3 linked regions of the Caenorhabditis elegans genome follow. The protein of the gene in region 1 interacts with the protein of each later gene in a pairwise test. Each region holds a gene or a part of one and is shown in the gene's direction. Other genes may lie near its edges.

What was found.
Region 2: the proteins of abu-15 (region 1) and W02B12.1 interact in a two-hybrid assay, tested with the Caenorhabditis elegans proteins (one large-scale study listed by BioGRID).
Region 3: the proteins of abu-15 (region 1) and rpl-13A interact in a two-hybrid assay, tested with the Caenorhabditis elegans proteins (one large-scale study listed by BioGRID).

Annotation. Positions count from the first base shown.
Region 1 is NC_003283.11:5,154,153-5,162,251, forward strand, and holds abu-15 (Activated in Blocked Unfolded protein response), read left to right. Parts: upstream 1-4,449; 5' UTR 4,450-4,470; coding exon 4,471-4,695; intron 4,696-4,742; coding exon 4,743-5,684; 3' UTR 5,685-5,755; downstream 5,756-8,099. Other genes in the region: srx-38 (G-protein coupled receptors family 1 profile domain-containing protein), read right to left, coding at 1-22, 71-201, 257-468, 515-738, 1,114-1,274, 1,326-1,364; srx-39 (G-protein coupled receptors family 1 profile domain-containing protein), read right to left, coding at 2,501-2,606, 2,649-2,779, 2,822-3,033, 3,078-3,301, 3,367-3,527, 3,570-3,608; abu-6 (Activated in Blocked Unfolded protein response), read right to left, coding at 6,526-7,467, 7,516-7,740.
Region 2 is NC_003280.10:11,447,141-11,454,151, forward strand, and holds W02B12.1 (Lipase_GDSL domain-containing protein), read left to right. Parts: upstream 1-1,881; 5' UTR 1,882-1,890; coding exon 1,891-1,903; intron 1,904-2,308; coding exon 2,309-2,478; intron 2,479-2,525; coding exon 2,526-2,643; intron 2,644-2,693; coding exon 2,694-2,860; intron 2,861-2,905; coding exon 2,906-3,072; intron 3,073-3,422; coding exon 3,423-3,509; intron 3,510-3,558; coding exon 3,559-3,631; intron 3,632-3,770; coding exon 3,771-3,875; intron 3,876-3,924; coding exon 3,925-4,032; intron 4,033-4,083; coding exon 4,084-4,224; 3' UTR 4,225-4,305; downstream 4,306-7,011. Other genes in the region: W02B12.13 (uncharacterized protein), read left to right, coding at 442-528, 1,569-1,694; rsp-2 (putative splicing factor, arginine/serine-rich 2), read right to left, coding at 4,523-4,616, 4,665-4,961, 5,010-5,086, 5,376-5,633, 5,686-5,805; rsp-1 (putative splicing factor, arginine/serine-rich 1), read left to right, coding at 6,841-6,963.
Region 3 is NC_003281.10:3,500,135-3,505,556, reverse strand, and holds rpl-13A (Large ribosomal subunit protein uL13), read left to right. Parts: upstream 1-1,952; 5' UTR 1,953-1,960; coding exon 1,961-2,219; intron 2,220-2,271; coding exon 2,272-2,424; intron 2,425-2,471; coding exon 2,472-2,668; 3' UTR 2,669-2,716; downstream 2,717-5,422. Other genes in the region: lias-1 (Lipoyl synthase, mitochondrial), read left to right, coding at 521-620, 670-767, 812-1,113, 1,158-1,393, 1,450-1,778; M01F1.8 (VWFD domain-containing protein), read left to right, coding at 3,021-3,182, 3,228-3,422, 3,490-3,684, 4,476-4,776.

The DNA of each region.
Region 1 (8,099 bases):
ATTGAAGATCAGTGTGAATATTCTGAATATTAATATTTTAAAAATTTAAATATTTTTAACGGGGATATACCCATCGAAACAATGAACTGATGACCATAAAATTGAAGAGAATATAAATGTGAATTGCTTTTCTGGGATAAGTCGTGGTCCCCATGTGAAACAGCAAACAATGACAAGAACAAATAAAGTTTGGCTGAGGGACTGGAATTTTCAATAAATATATTTTTTAGTTTATGAAAACAGTTTTTGTGAATACCTGCTTTAATAAACTCAACTCTTTCGAGTTTTTGTCGGATTTCGACCGCATTTTCACCACTTTCCCAATTGCAGTGAAATCCAAAAGTGTGCTGGTAATGGTTAGAGTGAAAACTTGATAAAAATCCCCATAAGTTCCATACAAACTACAAATTGCCCCACCGGAATATTGAAATGCTCGGTATTCTGCGTTGTAGTAATTCTGGCAGCCCACTGAAAAGATGACTTGGTTTTTTTAATTGATAATATGAAAACTTACAAATTTGAAAGAACAAAGTGATAAGTATAAACGAAAGTAAGTAGGTAGCCATAACAATTAGTTTGGTAAATGTTATACTGAACATTTTATGATAAAGAACTGGAGTAAATACTGCTAGAAATCTGTTTAATGATATTATAAAATGAAAATATGTCGAAGCATCATAGCATATCATCAAAAAGTACCCACATAGATGGGACCAATAGTCCAGGAATTCGTTTTGGCTGAAAATGTGTAGGAATACTGTAGACTGGAGTACTGTAGGGTTACTGTAGTTTTGAAAAAAATGAGTTTTTGTTTTTTGAAGGAATATCGATATGGGGTTTTTGGAGTGTCGTCGAGTAGCAAAAAACATTTCAGCGGGATTTTTTCAATTTTTCAAATAATTTTGGCGGGAAACTTAATTTTCTTTGAGAAACTACCGCACTACTATGTAGATATACGGAACTTCTATAAAATTCGAGACATTTCTGTAAGATTGCCCAAAAGGCAATTTAACTGGATTATATGTATACATTTTCAAATTAAATTTTTTTGGAAAAACCAAAAAAAATACCTATTCAATTTTGCCCGACATATTGTTTTATTCAAAAACTTACAAAAACACCATAGGAGTTGCGTAAAACAAGTATAAAGTTGAAAATACTCCATCGGCAATTGCCAAACCAACAGTTAAAATAGCAAATGGTTTTTGCAATTTTGTAACCTTTATCATTAATATTACGATCGCCCAATTTGTGAAAAACCCGCATGAAGAAAACTGAAAAAAATATTGCTAAGTTGGAGAAAAAAAGTTCGAATTTCAGCTCACCACAATCATAATTGCAGCAACTATTTTTTCCGAGATCATATTTCGAAACAGAAAACAAGTATCCTAGACCAATAGATATTTTGACCTCAATCCACTTCTATTTATTGGGTGGAGTCAGTGCCACACCTGCCATTTAACGAGTACCTGCAATGAACCGAGCTCTGAGTTGATTAAATAGAAGTGCATGACAGAGTGAGGTAGAGATGTTTTGATTTTTCAATCGGTTAAGGTTTGTATTGGAGATTTTTTCGTAGACATATTATTTAAGCTGTTAAAAAAAATTTAATAAAATTCATGTTGTTCAGAGAAAATTCCTAATGTACGTATTACTCATCGTTTATTATACCCCTAACAGAACAATTAACTACCACCCTTTCTTGTTTACGTGTAATCGTCTCCCCACACAGTTTAAATATTCTCTAGTTTTTTGTTTGGTTTCACACACAAGAAACAATTCAGAAAGAATTAAAAATGGATGTTTCAAAAATACTGTTTTATATATACTATAGATTTGGGAAGGATGCAAGTTTGAATTCCCTTCCAATTAATTTCCTTCCACTCATTTTTGAACCAATCAACTTGACACAGTTTATCTGATTGGCTCCAGAAGAGTGGGAGGAACGAATCACTGATTGGCCTTACTGTTTTCATTTTGGGGGAAATTCAAACTGGGAGTTCATTCATACTCAAATTTAAATTGGAAGTCTAATATGAAAATATTAAACTTCCGTGGTGATAAAAACAGAAATCCTTTTTGTGCTCCATATAATTAAAATTTAATAAACTAGCTGGCAAATAAGTGGCGCAATTACCAGATTTTTTGCTTTGATTTTTGCATTTTCTATTCATTTTTGGTTATCTTATAAAACTATACATTGATGTACAATTTATCTAAGGAAAAGGAACAAAACCATTGGAGCACGCACAAAGTACCATATTTACGATTTTTTTTGATTTTTTTCCACTTTGATGATTTTCTTGCAGCTTGTTCTTAGAAGATGGGAACAAATGTGACTTTGATCATGCAAATCATAAATTTAAAATGTACATATTTTTTCTTTACAAGCACATGTTCTGAACCAAAATTCATGATATAAAAATAACTCAGTTCCTAAAACCCTAGACAATGACAATTGGCTTGAGCATTACAATTCCACTAACAAAGACCTCTATTCTTAATCCAATGCAGCCGATTTCGATCTAACAACGTTGAATGCCAGTGGCTGGCCGCTTCTGGAACAGCTCCTTCGGATTTCTGGATTGAAAATCAATGTGAAAAACCTAAATTAGAACTTTTTGAGTATTTAGAATATTTACAATTACCCATCAAACATATGCACTGAAGACCAGAGAATAGAAGAGAAAATAAAGGTGTAATCAATGTCTGGAATAAAACGCGGACCCCAAGTAAAACTACAAACGATTGCAAGAACAAATAGAGTTTGGCTTATGGACTGAAATTATTATTTAAAACAATCTATAAAGATCAATATTACCTGTTTCAACAAGCTAAGTTCTTTTGAGTGCTTTTCTGTTTTTGAGCTAATTTTTAACACTTTTCCGATAGCTAAAAAGTCCAAAATAGTACTGGAAATAGTCAATGAAAAAACAAGATAAAAGTCTAAATAAGTTGCATAAAAACGACAAACGTCTCCTCCAGAATAACGAAATGCTCTTGTTTCTTGGTCATAAAAATTTTGACATCCCACTGCAACTCTCCCGTCAATTTTAGTTGACATTAAACTAACCTACAAATTTGAAAAAATAGTGTTATGATTGTAAGTGCGTAGGAATAAATTCCCATTACTATACAAAACGTGAACAAAACACTAAACATCATACGATAAAGCATTGGTTTATACACTGCTAGAATTCTGTTAAGGGATATCATGAAATGAAAAGTTGTTGAAGCACTGTAGCAAATCATAAGAACATATCCACAAACACTCGAATAATTTGATAAAATATCGCTCTCGCTGAATGGAATTTTTATTTTAACTGTTGGCCTCGCTGAATGAAAAAAAAAACTTGTTCAACTTACAAAAATACCATTGGAGTTGCATAGAATAAGTAGAGCGCGGAAAATGTTCCATCAGCAATCGCTAGACCAACAGTTAAAATTGCAAATGGTTTTTGCAACTTTGTAACTTTTATCATTATAATCACAATTGCCCAATTTATTGTAAATCCACAGAGGGAAAACTGAAGGTACATCAATTTGTTTGAGCTACAATAAAATCTTACCAAAAGCATAATTGCAGAGATTGTTGTCACGGAAATCATGATTGTAATTTGCAGCCAACAGGAAATGAAAAAGTTAATGTTATGAATGAGAGAGAAATATCTGGAAAAATTGAAACTTTCTTGTCAGGCTCGAGTCACCTGGGCCGGTGGCGTTCAGCTACAATACAAACATAGTTTCTTTCACATTTCGCATAGATACAATTTATTTTTAAAAAATCCGTTAGGCTATTAACTAAATGTTTTTATACCTAATTTTTTAAACTTTGAAATGTGTTTCAAAGTGAGTTCAAAACTAAAATTTCAAACTCTAGAGATCCCGGAAGCTAGGAAATCCCAGAAGCGAGGCAGCAACCACTGTAGCTCTATACAATCAAATCGAAAAAATGTTCGGGTCTGAAAACCAACTTATGTCATGCATGACAAATCATGTAAATTAAATTAGAGTCGAAATTTGTCGTTCTTACATGTCTACGTGTCTATGTGGTTCATTGATTCTTTTGATTTTCGATTAGCTAGAACGGTTCAAAAATTTAAACAAAATTAAAAGATAAATCTTATAAAAATAGATTGCTTATCGCTGTTTGCCCTTGAAAACTAGTTCTCATGTGCGAACCTTGCGTGAACAAGGTCATAGAGCAAACTCAAACAAGACCTCTCTTCTTTGCTTGCGCAATACTACAATTTATTCCTGTATTAGCTCGGAGTTTTTTAGTGACTCGATAGCTTACTTGAAGCTTTAGGCGAACGCTTTTGCGCGCGGCCGCAAGAGAGAGTCACATTTAGAAGAGGATCAGGAAATTAGGAACTGGAACCGGTTTACTGAGCAGCTGGAAAAGTCATATAAAAGAGAAGAACAGAGCTTCATTACCATCCGATTTCCTCGGTTCGAATCATTATTAAAATGCGCTTTACTTCACTTTCTATTGCGTTCCTTGCATGTGCCCTTGTGGTATCTGGAAGTGCAATCCGTGAAAAGAGACAGTGTGGATGTGCTCAGCCACAGCAGAGCCAATGCTCGTGCCAACAAGTTCAACAGACTCAGTCATGCTCGTGCCAATCTGCTCCAGTTCAACAACAATCCCCATCCTGCTCATGCGCTCAGCCACAACAAACTCAACAAGTTCAGGTACAGTTCATTAACATATTCGCAAACCATTAAATCAAAAATTTTAGGTTCAATCTACTCAATGCGCCCCAGCTTGCCAACAGAGCTGCCAACAGCAATGCCAGGCTTCTCCATCAGTGTCCCAGTGCCAGCCACAATGTCAGCAACAGTGCCAGGCTCAATGCACTCCAATGTACAACCCACCAACCACTACTACCACCACCCAAGCTCCAGTTGTCCAATACCAACAGTGCCAACCAGTATGCCAACAGCAATGTCAATCTACCTGTGTTCAACAACAACAACCAGCAGCTCAATGTCAGCCACAATGCCAACAACAATGCAATGTTGCCTGTGATTCCCCATCCACTACCACCCAGGCCCCACAAGTGATCCAAATCCAACTCGAGATCCAACAAGCTCAAGCTCAATGCCAACCACAGTGCCAGCAACAATGCCAATCTTCATGTGTCCAGCAACAGCAACAATCCAACCAGTGCGAGCCAGCTTGCAACACTCAATGCTCTGATATCTGCCAACAAACTGCTCAGGCTACCCAACAAGTCTACAACCAGAACATGAACCAGAACACCAACACTCAAATGTACAACCCATACAATACCAACACCAACCAGAACGCTAACTGCGCTCCAGCTTGCCAACCAGCCTGCGACAACTCCTGCACTTCCCAGCAGACTCAGCCAATGTACCAACCATACGACACCACCACTGAAGCTCCAGCTCAAGTCATCCAGATTGTTCTCCAGACTTCTGTTGCTCAATCATCCCAATGTGCCCCACAATGCGAACAATCCTGCCAACAGCAATGTGTTCAGCAACAACAGCCAGCTGCCCAGTGCCAAACTGCCTGCCAATCATCATGCTCTAACTCATGCCAAGCTGCTCAACCAGCAACTACTGCCTGCCAGCAGAGCCCACAACAGAGCTCCTGCTCTTGCCAAGCTAACTACTCTCCATGCGGAAATGGACAATGCTGCCGCAGAAAGTAATTTAATTGTTCCTGATTCTTGATTTTTGTATATACCGAAACAATTCAGTTTCAATAAACGCATAACTTTTTAAACCTTCTCGCTTTAAAAATCTGACGTGACATAAAAATAACCAGAATAAACCAGTTGTTTTCGAAACACAACATGTTTATTTAAAAACTGTTAGCGTCTCTTCTTCGACTACATTTTTAGAAAATCTCATAAACATTTGTTCAGTTGGCATTGATACAGGTTTACGTATGTTCTATCTATTTCTGTACTCATTGAAAAATGCTCTCATCAAAGAAATATTTATAGAAAAGTTAGATTTACAAGAATTTTCTAGCTCGCCAGCAGGAGTTTAGAAACTAGAGATTAAAAAAAAAAAGCTCACTGATGAAGTATTTTAAATTCAATTTAGTTTCAAATCGTTTAGGTTCACGACTTTACGTGTTTCACTACCACACTGTTCCTTCATTACGAAAAATGTAATACGACCTTAGAAGTTAAAATTTATTTTAGCTTACAATTAAAATTGCTACATACTTTTTCTGATAATACTTGCGAGTGATAACTTTATAGCGATATATCAAAAATGTTTTCCATTTTCATTAAAATTAGTTTTACTTTTTTAGACAATCTGGTATCTTGATATGCAATACTCGTTACATTATTATTTCAGGCATTCACTTTAATAATATTTCACTGTTTCCGATAGTAATGATTATGCTAGTTTGTGAACCACTTTTCATTATACAGTGAAAACTTTGAGATTCTGGAAGACACTTTTTAAAAAGTTATGCGTTTATTGAAACTGAATTGTTTCGGTATATACAAAAATCAAGAATCAGGAACAATTAAATTACTTTCTGCGGCAGCATTGTCCATTTCCGCATGGAGAGTAGTTAGCTTGGCAGGAGCAGGAGCTCTGTTGTGGGCTCTGTTGGCAGGCAGTAGTTGCTGGTTGAGCAGTTTGGCAGGAGTTAGAGCATGATGATTGGCAGGCAGTTTGGCACTGGGCAGCTGGCTGTTGTTGTTGAACACATTGCTGTTGGCAGGACTGTTCGCATTGTGGAGCACATTGGGATGATTGAGCAACAGAAGTCTGGAGAACAATCTGGATGACTTGAGCTGGAGCTTCAGTGGTGGTGTCGTATTGTTGGTACATTGGTTGAGTCTGCTGGGAAGTGCAGGAGTTGTCACAGGCTGGTTGGCAAGCTGGAGCGCAGTTAGCGTTCTGGCTGGTGTTGGTATTGTATGGGTTGTACATTTGGGTGTTGGTGTTCTGGTTCATGTTCTGGTTGTAGACTTGTTGGGTAGCCTGAGCAGTTTGTTGGCAGATATCAGAGCATTGAGTGTTGCAAGCTGGCTCGCACTGGTTGGACTGTTGCTGTTGCTGGACACATGAAGATTGGCATTGTTGCTGGCACTGTGGTTGGCATTGAGCTTGAGCTTGTTGGATCTCGAGTTGGATTTGGATCACTTGTGGTGCCTGGGTGGTAGTGGATGGGGAATCACAGGCAACATTGCATTGTTGTTGGCATTGTGGCTGACATTGAGCTGCTGGTTGTTGTTGTTGAACACAGGTAGATTGACATTGCTGTTGGCATACTGGTTGGCACTGTTGGTATTGGACAACTGGAGCTTGGGTGGTGGTAGTAGTGGTTGGTGGGTTGTACATTGGAGTGCATTGAGCCTGGCACTGTTGCTGACATTGTGGCTGGCACTGGGACACGGATGGAGAAGCCTGGCATTGCTGTTGGCAGCTCTGTTGGCAAGCTGGGGCGCATTGAGTAGATTGAACCTAAAATCATTAATTTAGTAGTGTTTGAAATAAATGCATAAAAGGTACCTGAACTTGTTGAGTTTGTTGTGGCTGAGCGCATGAGCAGGATGGGGATTGTTGTTGAACTGGAGCAGATTGGCACGAGCATGACTGAGTCTGTTGAACTTGTTGGCACGAGCATTGGCTCTGCTGTGGCTGAGCACATCCACACTGTCTCTTTTCACGGATCGCACTTCCAGATACCGCAAGGGCACATGCAAGGAAGGCAATGGCAAGTGAAGTAAAGCGCATTTTAGTAATGATTCGAACCGAGAAAATCGGATGATAATGAAGCTCTGTTCTTCTCTTTTATACTACTTTCCCATACCCCCACCCTCTGTACCAGACCTGAAACTTCTTGATTTCCGCTCTTCCGTTCACTTTTCGTCTATGTGTCTCTCATTCTCTTTCCGGCCAAACTGTTTGCCTTATAAAAAAGTGTTCGTGTAAAAAAAGGTGCGGTGAGCATTAGAATAAACTCTCTAATCAAACAAACGTGTGTCGAGGAAAAAGGTGAAAACTGGTATGTTGCAAATTGGAAACTTTAATTTTGGAATGTGATGTTCCTTGATCTACATTATGTTACGGAATCGTTTATCTGAAGTGAATTT
Region 2 (7,011 bases), on another chromosome or scaffold:
GTGCCACGACTATTATTAGTAGGGGCCTGTATATGCATATGATTTTATAATAATAAAAGAATCCCCGCTGTGTGTTTGGTATGTACAATCAGAGTAGTAATATTAGTAGGTCCATACATACACTTTATGGAATAAAAGTGAGCATAGAAGTGAATTGAAAGAGCCGGTGTGGAGTGGGGCGGTTCTCGATTTCTTAGTTCCACGTTGACGGGCGCTATCAGAGAGAACTGCAAGAAATAAGAAAAACGAAGAAATTGTATGCGATTTGCATACCCCATTCCCAAACTATCAAATGTTTATGTTTTCGCTTCGTACGGTGCCGGCGGCGCGCTTCGTTCTTTTTTTGATTGTTTCTATCGAGAATATGAAGACGAACGGAAAAAAAGGCTAACGGGAGAAAAGACAGAGGAGACGAATATTCGTATTGTTTTCTTTTTCCAGGGAGAACAACAATCATTGAACGACTACGATGGGAATAAGGATTTGATTGTGTCTGGAAAAGCGATGAAGTATATACAGGCGGTTAATGTAAGGCTGTTTGGTTTATGCAAATTCATTTTGAGAAGATTTTTCACACACTTCAATACTTGGAAAAAACTTTCCAAAAGACTTTCAAAATATTTGTCTATCCTTAAATGCCCTGAAAACGTCAAAAATCTACGTTTGGGTCTAAAAATTTCTGATCTACCTTTTTTCTAGTTCAAAGTGCTCATATGTATCTAAATTGTATTGAACTGTATTTACAGGTATCGACAGTAGGGATTTAGTCTAAACACACTTCATATAGTCCGAAATTTGGAAATATCTCAAAAATATATCCAATAAATTTTAGATTTTATAAACTTTCTGGCATAGTTTTGGTAAATTGGCAAAATTTCCAAGTGTTCATTTTTCAAAAATAAGGACTATACGAAAATCTTACTTTTTAAATTGCAAATTAATATAGAAATTCAGTAAAATGTTTGAATAATCCGAGAATAAAATGTATTCTTGATGAAAGTTTCAAAAAAAAAGCTTTCAAATAGTGCCGGAGTCGCTGGTTCACAACACTTTTTCGGCAACAAGCAACTTTCAGACACTATTTGAGACCCTGTTTGAAACTGTTTGACATTAATAAGTTTTATTCTCAGATCGGTCCAATGTTTTATTGCATTTCTATGTATATAAATTTTGGATTCAAAAAGTAGAATTATCACATTGAAATAAGCAGTTTTTTTGCGGAATAGTCTTAATTTTTGGAAAATTTGACAATTTACCAAAACTTGCCTGCAAGTTTATAAAATCTGAAAATTTTTGGATTTCTATTATACAATTTTACCATTTCTGGAGTATATTAGGTGTATTTAGACTAAATCGTTGTAAATTTTTGACGTTTAAAGGATATTTTAGAGTAGTCAAATATTCTGGAAACTTTTTTGGAAAGTTTGAAAAATTTGGTAATTTACAAAAACTTTGAAATTTTCCGACCTTCATTTTTTACAGTTTTTTCCTTTTACTATATATTTTTTCAAAACCAAAATTTCTACCGAAAACCCTTTAAATTACAATACTTCAAAATAAAACTGTAGATTACAGCTCGGCTTCATCCCTCTTCCAAAGTACGCTCCACCAAAATCACTCGTCGGTGTCAACAGTGGAATCGGAATTCTCGGAGCACAAGCACCAACTGGAGGCTAGAACTTTCTAATTTCTAATAATTTATATGTTTCGCCACCCACTTTTCCTGTTCAAACCCCTAAATGAATGTACATACAAATTGGATTGCGAGAGCATGTCCGGACGCAAATCAAAATGTCCTGATAAAGACTATAAAGGTGATAAGCAGTGGGTGTCGATAATGTCTTGAATATCATCTTTTTGAGACTCTGTTTCAGACAGCACTACTGAATCATGCGGTGGTTAGGTAGGTCATTTTGAATTAGGAATTATTAGAAAAAGAAACTAATCGTTTAGATTTACGTAGGCTCGTGTATTCTGCTAGGAGAATCTCAATTTTTTAAAAATGATTTTGTATCTATCATGCTCTTGTTCATAGGTTCCTAGACATGTATTCTTTCCTTTTTTTCAGAAAACAAGAAATTAATTTTAAATTTTAAATATCCAAATTTCGTAAAAATTGCCGCTTTGCTTTATACGCGCTCGCTATTTTTCTGAGTAGGTCTCTTCACGATCTCAGCCGCAGTGGGTGGTGGCTACAACTTTCAAATTCCACATAGTTGTTCAATTTGCAACCTGCTAATAAATACTAGAAAATTAGTCAAAAATCTAGCCTTTTAGTTAGAAAAATACACCCATTCTTTACGTTCAGTTACCACGTTGCTATGTTGCTCCCTGGCTCATGGGCTCAAGGATCTCGGAGCTCCGAACTGGTCGTGTGACGCTAGTGTTATGGCAAAGAGTAAGAAAGTTCCCACCAGTGCTCATAGTGTTCGATTTGCTGATATCAAGGTTATTGGAGCACTTGGGGACTCGTTGACTGTGAGTATGCTTTAATTTTACTAAAACCAATTAGGTCAAACTTCCAGGCAGCCAATGGTGCTGGAGCTCAACCAGGAGACCCGCTGGCAGTCATCCTGCAATATAGAGGACTTGCCTTCCAGATTGGAGGTGATAAAAGCCTTGATGAGCACATTACTGTTGCAAGTGAGTTTTTACAATTTTGATAATATTTTTACCCTTCTAAAACCTTTCAGATGTACTAAGAAAGTTCAATCCAACCTTGGTGGGTGCCTCAAAAGGAATCGGCTCGGAAAACGTATGGGAAGTTTCTCACTTGAATATGGGAGTTCCTGGAGCTGAATCCAAGGATATTATCGGTCAGGCAAGAGCTCTGGTCAACACTATGCATGCTCATTCTGAAGTAATTTAGAGCTTCTGAGCCCCCTTTTCAAATCAAAGCTTTCAGATTAACGTGAAAGAAGACTGGAAACTTGTCAACATTTTCATTGGGGCAAACGATATTTGTGTCTATTGTGAAGATCCGTACTTCAACTCGACGGCTCTTCATGGAAATGCAACTTTTGAGAAGAATATCATCGCAGCTGTTCAGATTCTTCAGGATAATCTGCCAAGGTATTGAATAGACGCGAAATTTTGCAATTTTTGCGCTAAGAATACGGTATCCGGTCTCGGCGCGATAATATTTTGTAAAGTTAAAACGGGTGTGTGCCATTTAAAAAGTACTGTAATTTCAAACTGAATTTCCATAAAGTTTTTTATTTAAAAAATATTTATACAAAAACTAAGAAAAAATAATAAAAACCAGATGAATTTTAACAAATTGTGAGCAAAAAGACAAAATTTTAAAATTACAGTACTCTTTAGAGGCGCACGAATTTCAAATTTAAACTGTTCAGTAGAATTTCAGTTTGCAAAACTTTTTCTTCGTGGCGTGAGTTTAAAAATTCAAATATTTATTCCAGAACAATTGTCTCACTGACCGGAATGTTCAACATGAGAATGCTTCGTAAGATTGACAAGAAGAAGTATTTCTGCGAAGGACTTCATACGTAGGGGAACTTGAATTCCTAAAAATTCTGTTTAACTTTTGGCTTTTAGATTCGAATGTGATTGTGAGTCCAACAAACAATTCACTGATGATGATATTCAAGGAGTTTGCTTCGGATATATGGTTTGTTTTGGATTATTACCAGTCCCAGGTCTTGACGTGAGCCAAACTTTTCAGATACCGTAGTGTCGCATACGGTACGGTAGCTGAAAAGTTTCGGTCGTGGTGGGACACATCTTTCTAAATTTTTAAAAGTTTTCAGAATGCTGAAAAAGATATTCAAAACACGGGATTATTCGATAACAAGGATGATTTCACGTTTGTAGTTCAACCATTTTTCAACGGGATTCTGGATCCACCATACGCGGTTGGCACATTTTGAATTTAAATTTCATTTAAATATTTGCATTTTCCAGAGCCCAGGAGTTGTTGACATGACATTCTTTGCTCCAGATTGCTTCCATTTCTCGGCTTACGGGCATGGAAATATTGGAATGCATCTTTGGAACACAATTGTTCAACCAGTAATCATAACTCCGGAATAATGATTTTATTGTTTAATGGGATTTTTCTAGGTTGGATTCAAACAAACCAGTGTCAATTTGAGTGATCCTTCAGTTGGATTACATTGCCCAAGTACAAACTGTCCGTTCTTCCCGACTACAAAAAACAGCAATAACTGTGCTTCACACTTCACGTTGAGCGAGCTAGATTAAACTTTTTCGCGAATATTCAATTGTTTTCAAATGAACTTTATGAGAAGTGTTATGTATTCGATAAAAAATTGCAAAGTTTGCATCCAAATTGTTTTATTGAATTTTATAAAAATAATATATTAAATTAGTGGTAGTTTTTAGACAAAAAAACACACAAACAGAGAGAGAGAAAGAGAGAGACGCACAACATTAGATTGGTCGATTACATGATTCGGCTTTTTGCACGAGTTACTGACGTTACGATAAAAAAATAGATGGAACAGGAAATTTCACATGAGAGGTGCAATGATAAATAAAATTATGGAGATGCAGATCCGGAACGTGGAGAAGAGTTGTCGCGTCTTTTCTTTGGTGATGGAGAACGGTTTGGTGGAGAGTTGGAGCGGGAACGTCTGGAAAATAGAAATGTATTTTCTCACTAATCATAAATTTATTTTTACCTTCCGCCGGAACGAGAACGGCTCTTGCTCTCACTGCGAGCTCTCTTGTCGGATCGTTTCTTTGGTGATGCACTACGGCTCTTTCTGTCCGATCTGTCAGATCCAGGACTGCGACGACGAGCTGGTGGAGAACGGCTTCTAGTGGGACTTCTGGATCGAGAGCGACGGCGTGGACTTCTTGAACGGCTGCGGTCACGGGTCTCATCCGTGCATTTGAGCTTTCTTCCGTTCAGGTCTTCACCTTGCAACTTGTTCATCGCATCACGCAAGTCGTCATGGGAAGTGAAGCATACGATTCTAAAAATAAAAACGATGAATTACATTTAAAAGAAGTGCATATCATACGCTTGGTTGACATTTCTCTTGTGCGCCTCGGAGTAGGTCGGCTCGATTCCCAGCTTGCGGATGTGGTCCTTGATGTCCTAAAATTCAGGTACAGGGTATTGATTGTTTGTGAAGTAGGGCCAGATTGATAGGAGGAAGAAGAATGCCATTGACTGAGGAAATTGATTGAGAGCAATTGAATTGCAAATTGTATTGGCAAATGGCACACCCACTGAGTTGCTGCTGTAGCATTCAAAATGTTCGTTTTGAAAAAATGAGTGACAGTTTTCAGTAAAATTTGGAACGGGGGTAGTATTTCGTTAGTTGTTCAATCACACTCAAACACGCAACTTGTGAATCGCTATGGCTCGCAGTCATGTATCTTACCTGCCAACTGTAACGAGTAGACAAATTATCGATCACCAAACGGAATCTAGTCGAGCACGGACGACTGTATCGGTTGGAAAACTGGCGCTCGCCGCCTTTTCTGAACGTTGGCTCACGTCCTCTGAAACCACTCCCACTTCTTTCCTCGTTGTACCCAACTTTACGCCGTGGAAACTCAAGAATGACTCTCTCTCCACAAAGCTCTTTCCCATTCAAATCGTGGACAGCGTCATCGGCATCGCGCTGGTCTTGAAAATCCTGAAATTATGACATATTCAAGATATTCTGACGAAAATATGTTATCTCTTACCACGAAACCAAATCCGTTCTTCATTATGACATCAGACAGCTTTCCATATCCGCGGAAGAAGTGCTCGACATCACGATCAGATGCTCTATTTGGCAAACGACCGATGTAGACACGAACCATGTTTAGAGGTCTGAAATAAGTGAAGAATGAGAAAAGTCAATTCAAAAGAGAGAAGAAATAAGAAAAGTCTGGAGAAATAAAAATTATTGTGGCCAGAGAGGAAGAGAATTTGGGCATTGCACATTAAATAGGAGGCAATATGTACATGCACATGCACGCGACGCGCTGAAATTAAGTCGATAATCAATAAAATGGGAGCACAGGACGATGCCACAGAGTTATAAAACGAGAAACGCGCAATGGTATCCCATTAATGCGTCAGCAGCGTTCTGACACGCACTTAGTGCTCTAAGCGTTGCGGTTGCGTCGCGGGTGCCCTCATTTGAAACTGATTTTCGCATTTTGTGCGGCATTTCTTCTTATTTTTAAAGTATTTCACTAATCCTGCATTGAATTTCGCCTGCGTAGGTGTTCAGGTTGATATGCTCTTAACTTTTCATCAGAATGCAAACTATAATCTTGTGGTTTTAGGATTTTATATGAAAATAAGTCGAATAAGCGCTTTAAGATGTTTTTTTTGTGATGAAAGGCATTGATTCACAGAATCTCAAATAAAGAATATCAAAGCAAAATGAGTCCATTGGCTAACCTGGATGTGAAAGCGTTAAGTGTTATATATTTACTTTAAAAAAAACTTCAAATTATTTTCAAGCTAGGAAACGATATTAGAACTTTAAAAAACGCAGAAAATCATCAAATTCGAAAGGAAGGAATTTTAGGATTACGCAAATGCAAGATCATTTTTTTCATATGTGGGTCAGAGTTTGAAACTAATTAGGAGAAAAACATTGCAACTAATTTAAGAAATGTAGGGCGCAGACGAGAAAAGAGTGGTTGTACGCAGAGAAAATGAGTGTGTTTTGAGTAAAACAGCTGCCCCGCTTATCGGCCAAGGTGCGCGTTGTTGTCATGGCTACATTGTCTGTGAGTGCGCTCTCAAACGCGCACATTTTGTGAATCGATAATCTTCTCGTCTTCAATATTATTTTTCTCCTCTGTGATACAGGCCATTCATTCATTCGCTTTCTTTTCAGCATGGCAGCTCGAATTTACATCGGTCGGTTGACTTCTCGTGTTTCTGAAAAGGACATTGAGCATTTCTTCCGTGGTTATGGCCAAATTCGCGACGTCCTACTCAAGAATGGTTTTGGATTTGTCGTAAGTTATAATTTCTAAAACCATTTCAGTTTCCTAATGTCATTTTTT
Region 3 (5,422 bases), on another chromosome or scaffold:
TCTAGTTATGATCAAAATCACGAATAAACCACGTAAAAAGTCAAAAGGGACCTCACTATTAAGGTTTTTATGAAAATTCCCAAGATTCTGCTGGAAAAATGAGTTAAATTTGATTGTTGAAGTGAAAAAAAATGTTGCGAATGGCCTTGCGGACTACGGTGGATTTTTCTGTGCATACACCGTCACGTCTGATTGCGTATCGTGGCGAGACCCATCGAACCTCAACGCATGGCTTTTTCCGCTATCCTAAAATTTTTTCACGATTTTCGCCTGATTTTTCACGTTTTTGCGCGATTTTTTGCATAAAATTGATTGAATTTTTAATTTTTAAACGATTAATAGTGCTAATTATCGATTGTAGTTCTTATTCTGCGAGATTTGTCAGAAACTAGGTAGGAAAAGTGGAAAAATGTTCCCAAAATCCAAATTTGTCTATTTCTCAACCAGAATTTCAGTTGTAGGGGGTCCCTCTTGATTTTCAACACAAGGAGTTTAATTATTACCGGTAGATTGTTTAAGCATGCTAGCTCGGGTATGGGTCCGTGGACTTGCAGCCACAAAGAAAAAACCGCAAGTTCTCGTCAAAGATGGACCATCGCTTCAGGATTTTATTTCATCAGGTAAAACTCAAACAATATTGTTTCATAATCAAATAATTATTAATTTTAGCATCCGTGGCAGAGGCTGTTGAGAAGTACGAAGGAAAACTGAAGCTGGAGAAAGGGGACAGACGTTTGCGACTTCCACCATGGCTCAAGAAAGAAAAGGTATAGCCTATCAATTTTTTGCCCCTCATCACAATTGTTTTCAGATTCTTCCATCGGAAAACGAAAATGTCAGTCGTCTAAAAAAGCAGTTGAAACATCTCAAACTAGCGACTGTTTGTCAGGAAGCACGGTGCCCAAATCTTGGAGAATGCTGGGGAGGATCAGATGACAGTCTAGCAACAGCGACAATCATGTTGATGGGAGATACCTGCACTCGGGGTTGTAAATTCTGTTCGGTCAAAACTGCTCGAGCTCCTCCACCATTGGATCCTATGGAACCGGAAAATACGTCGACCGCCGTTGCTTCATGGGGTGTCGAATACATTGTTTTAACATCAGTTGACAGGTAACTTATTCGTATCTTGAGCTTTTAATCAAAGTAATTTTCAGGGATGATTTGCCAGACGGTGGAGCCGATCATCTTCGCAAGACAGTACAGCTGATGAAGCTCAAGAAGCCTGAACTTCTCATCGAATGCTTATTGCCCGATTTCGCTGGAGATAAGATCAGTGTGGAGAAAATGGCTACCAGTGGACTCGATGTATATGCACATAACATTGAAACGGTTGAAAGACTGACTCCATGGGTCAGAGATCCACGAGCTAAATATCGGCAGTCTTTGGACGGTAAGCAGCTTTTTTTTTTTTCAGAATCTCGTAAATATTATTGAATATTTTTTAAGCTCTTCGATACGCAAAGGAAGTCAGCCCAAAGCTAATCACGAAGACATCGATTATGCTAGGACTGGGCGAAGCTGAAGACGAGATAAAGCAGTGCTTGGCCGATCTTCGAGCTAGCAATGTTGACGTTGTCACTTTCGGTCAATACATGCAGCCGACAAAACGTCATTTGCTTGTCAAAGAATGGGTGACCCCCGAGAAATTCGACCAGTGGGCAGAATATTCGAAAAAACTGGGATTCCTTTACGTTGCATCTGGCCCTCTTGTTCGCTCTTCGTACAAAGCCGGAGAATTCTATTTGAAAAATGTGTTGAGAAATAGACAAAATTAAGATTACTGAAATATGTAAATATTAGAAGAATTTGTGCGGGATTCTTGCCAAATAAATTCTCGAAATAGTTTTCATATATTTATTGTTATGCGCGTTCTCTCGCTTCGATTTATCTCTCTTCCTTTACTCTCGTGTATTTCTAAACTTTCCCCTTCTTATCAGTATTTATTTCAGGGTAAACGATGGGTCTGTCGAACAGAGCAATCATCATTGACGGAAAGAACCACCTTCTCGGTCGGTTGGCTTCCATCGTTGCAAAGAAGCTTCTCCAAGGAGACAAGGTTGTCGTCCTCAGAGCTGAAGAGATCGTCATCTCCGGAAACTTCCACCGTTCCAAGCTGAAGTACATGAGCTTCCTCCGCAAGCGTTGTAACATCAACCCAGCCCGTGGAGCCTTCCATTACCGTGCTCCAGGAAAGATCTTCTGGCGTACCGTCAGAGGTGAGTGATTTTAAACATTATCTGTACTTAAATTAATAAATTCTCTATTCAGGAATGCTCCCACACAAGACCAACCGCGGAAACGAGGCTCTCAAGAACCTCCGCGCCTACGAAGGAGTTCCAGCCAAATACCAGAAGACCAAGTCTCTCCATGCCCCATCAGCCAGCAGATTCCGACTTCAACCAAGAAGAAAGTTCTGCGTCGGTGAGTTATTATAATTTTTTTGATCACAACGATTATTTAATTTTCAGTTGGACGCTTATCGCACGAGGTCGGATGGCAATTCCAGGATGTTGTTGCCAAGCTCGAGGCTAAGAGAAAGGTGAAGGGAGCCGCCTACTTCGAACAGAAAAAGAAGATGGACAAGCTCGCCGTTCAAGCAAAGAAGAATGCCGCCCCAAAGATCGCTCAATACCAGAAGATCATCGAGGCTCTTGGATACAATTAAATCCATGCACAAATCTGTTTTGTTTGGTATTATAAAATTGTTGACCATATCACTACTGTTTTTTCAAAACATATTCAGGTTACTTGTTGAGAGTCTTTGTTTCATATTTCTGTCTCACTGCATGTTTTCGAGAGGTCCCACGAAATTTATTTGGAAATTGCCAGTACATTTAAGGGCAGAGAAACTGAAGGTTTTTAATTTTAGATTTTACGGAAAATCGAAAAAACACTATTTTTACTAAAAAATTAAGAGATATTTTTATTAAAACACTGCTAGATCCACTTTATGCCGATCCTCTTCTCGTGGAGCCTCTTCTTTGAATATCATCTTTTATTAATATCAGAGCTACAAAATGGCTACAATCCTTCATAAGCAAGGTTCCGTCGTCGCTGTTTCACACGATATGATGATGGTTCGCTATGATGGAAAAGGTGTTCTTTTTAAGAAGGAATTGCTCACTCGTGGATATAAACATGACGATATAGTTCAATTCAATGCTAGAAAAGCTACAACTGTAAGCTTATTTCCAGGAAAACTTTAATAAAACCCGATGTTTCAGGTAGATATTGAAGTTGGCGATAAGCTATCACAAATGGCAAACTATGAACTCGCTTGGGTTGGCACTGAGCTTAAATTTATCAAACAAGGACGAATGTTGGTTGCTGAGGGTGCAGTTATCAATATTCCCGATGATAAAGCTCAGTATATGTTCGTTGACTGGAAATATACCAAAAATCCGCCAACTCTTGCCAAGGTTTGTGGAAACGTGGAATAACGAGCAATTTTAATACGAAATTAACTATTAAGACTACAAAATTCAGATTCCAGGCTATACTAAGCCTTTGACAACCAATGTATTCGTGACTCGAGCCACTGTTCGTCCTGACGTTGAGAAGTTGACTGAAATGTTTAAGCCGGGCCAACGTGTCAAATTTGTTGCACGAGAGCAAGCGCCGAATGAGAGAGGAGTCTGTTGGAGAGCCGCGTTGGCTACTGATGAATATCATGATATTGCGGTATTGAAATTTTGAGAAAAACGTCAAAAATTTTGTTGAAATTTAAAATTTCGTCAGCTTGTCGTTTTCGCAGTCGTTTTCGAATTCAGTTTTATTGAATTTTCCCTTTTTTTTTAACATTTTTGGGAAGTTTTTCGCTGATTTAGGCGCTTTTTTAGTCGCTGGGCATTCAATTTGCTTAAAATAACTGATAAACAGCCAAAATATGTGATAATTCAAAAAAAAACTATATTCAAGCTGCGGAAATTTCAGATTTTTTCAAAGTTTGGCTCTTTTTTCGCAATTTTTGAGGATTTTCAAACTTTAATCGACTTTATGAAGCATTATTTTCGGAAAGTCTAAAAATTTCCTATTGCACCATATTTTCCCAACATTTTTCTTTAAAAACTAGTGTAAAAATATAGAAATTCACTTGATTTATCTGAAAAAAACGTTGATTTCAGTTGAAACATTTGAAAATGTGCTTCAAAATTAATTGTAAGATGCAAATCACTGATTTGCACTTTCCAGGTAATTTTATAGTACATTTTCAAATTTTTCAACTAAAATCAACGTTATTTTCAGAAAAATCAAGGGATTTTCTATTTTTTCACACTAATTTTTAATGAAAAATGTTGGAAAAACATGGATAGGCAATAGGTAATTTTCTAGAATTTCTGCGGTGTTCAATCGAAAAAAAAATTGGAAAACCCTCAAAAAATGCCAGAAGAAGAGCCAAATTATAGCTAATACGTAGTTATATGTCGAAAAAATTCCGTATTATGGTAAATATCTAATTAATTTATTTTCAGATAGATGTTCCCAACGCTCACGGCCGCCAAACTTATCGAGTAATTCCAAAAGCCGGAGTTTGTCCGCCAGCTCCCCTTCAACAACGTCCTTTAGCTCCTCCAAACCCCCAAGTTCCGTCTACTTCCGCTTGGAACATAGCCCCCACTCCAACTCCAGTCACTGTACAGAGACCTTTGAGAAAACCGGTTACTCCACAACCAGTTAAAAGTGCATTTCAAGCTCAGAAGCCACCACCAATCGATGGATTCGACTATTTTGATAGTTCAAAGGAGGCTTGTGCGGCGAGATTCCGGAACTTTGGTTAGAAATTCGAAATATTATTGGGACGCAGAAAAATTTCCAATTCAATATGAACGCTCCGCCCCGAACAGATGGGTCTCGTTGGGTATTTGGTGGAAAATGCGAAAATTCAAAGATTTTCAATCATTTTTTGTCTTTTTTGTTACATTTTCAGCCGTTTTCAATGATTTCTAAATCTACGCGGTGTGAGAATGTCTCACTGCGGTTTGATCTACGAAAAATGCGGGAATATTTTTCCAGAAAAATTGTGACGTCATCACGCTCTTAATTATGCGAAATCGGATGAGATGTCTGCGCATCTTCTCCCGCATTTTTGGAAGATCAAAGCGTAATGGGACTTTCTGACTCCACGTGAAGTCGAGATGATGGCTTAAAAATATTATTTGTCCAAATAATTATCGATTTTCGGCATAAAACTTATTAAAACCCGCGGAAAATTAAGCAAAAAAGACGAAAAAAATGCTTAAAAACGCTTGAATTTGAGGTCCCACGAAAAATGAGGTGAACGAAAAGGAGATCTGAAAAAAAAATGCAATTTTTCTTCTGCAACGCACGTTGATATTTGAAATTTTTCTTCTGGAAAACTCGCTAAACAACGCGAGATGCGGAATATCGGAGCATCGTTGTATCGTTCTCTTCGAGAAAA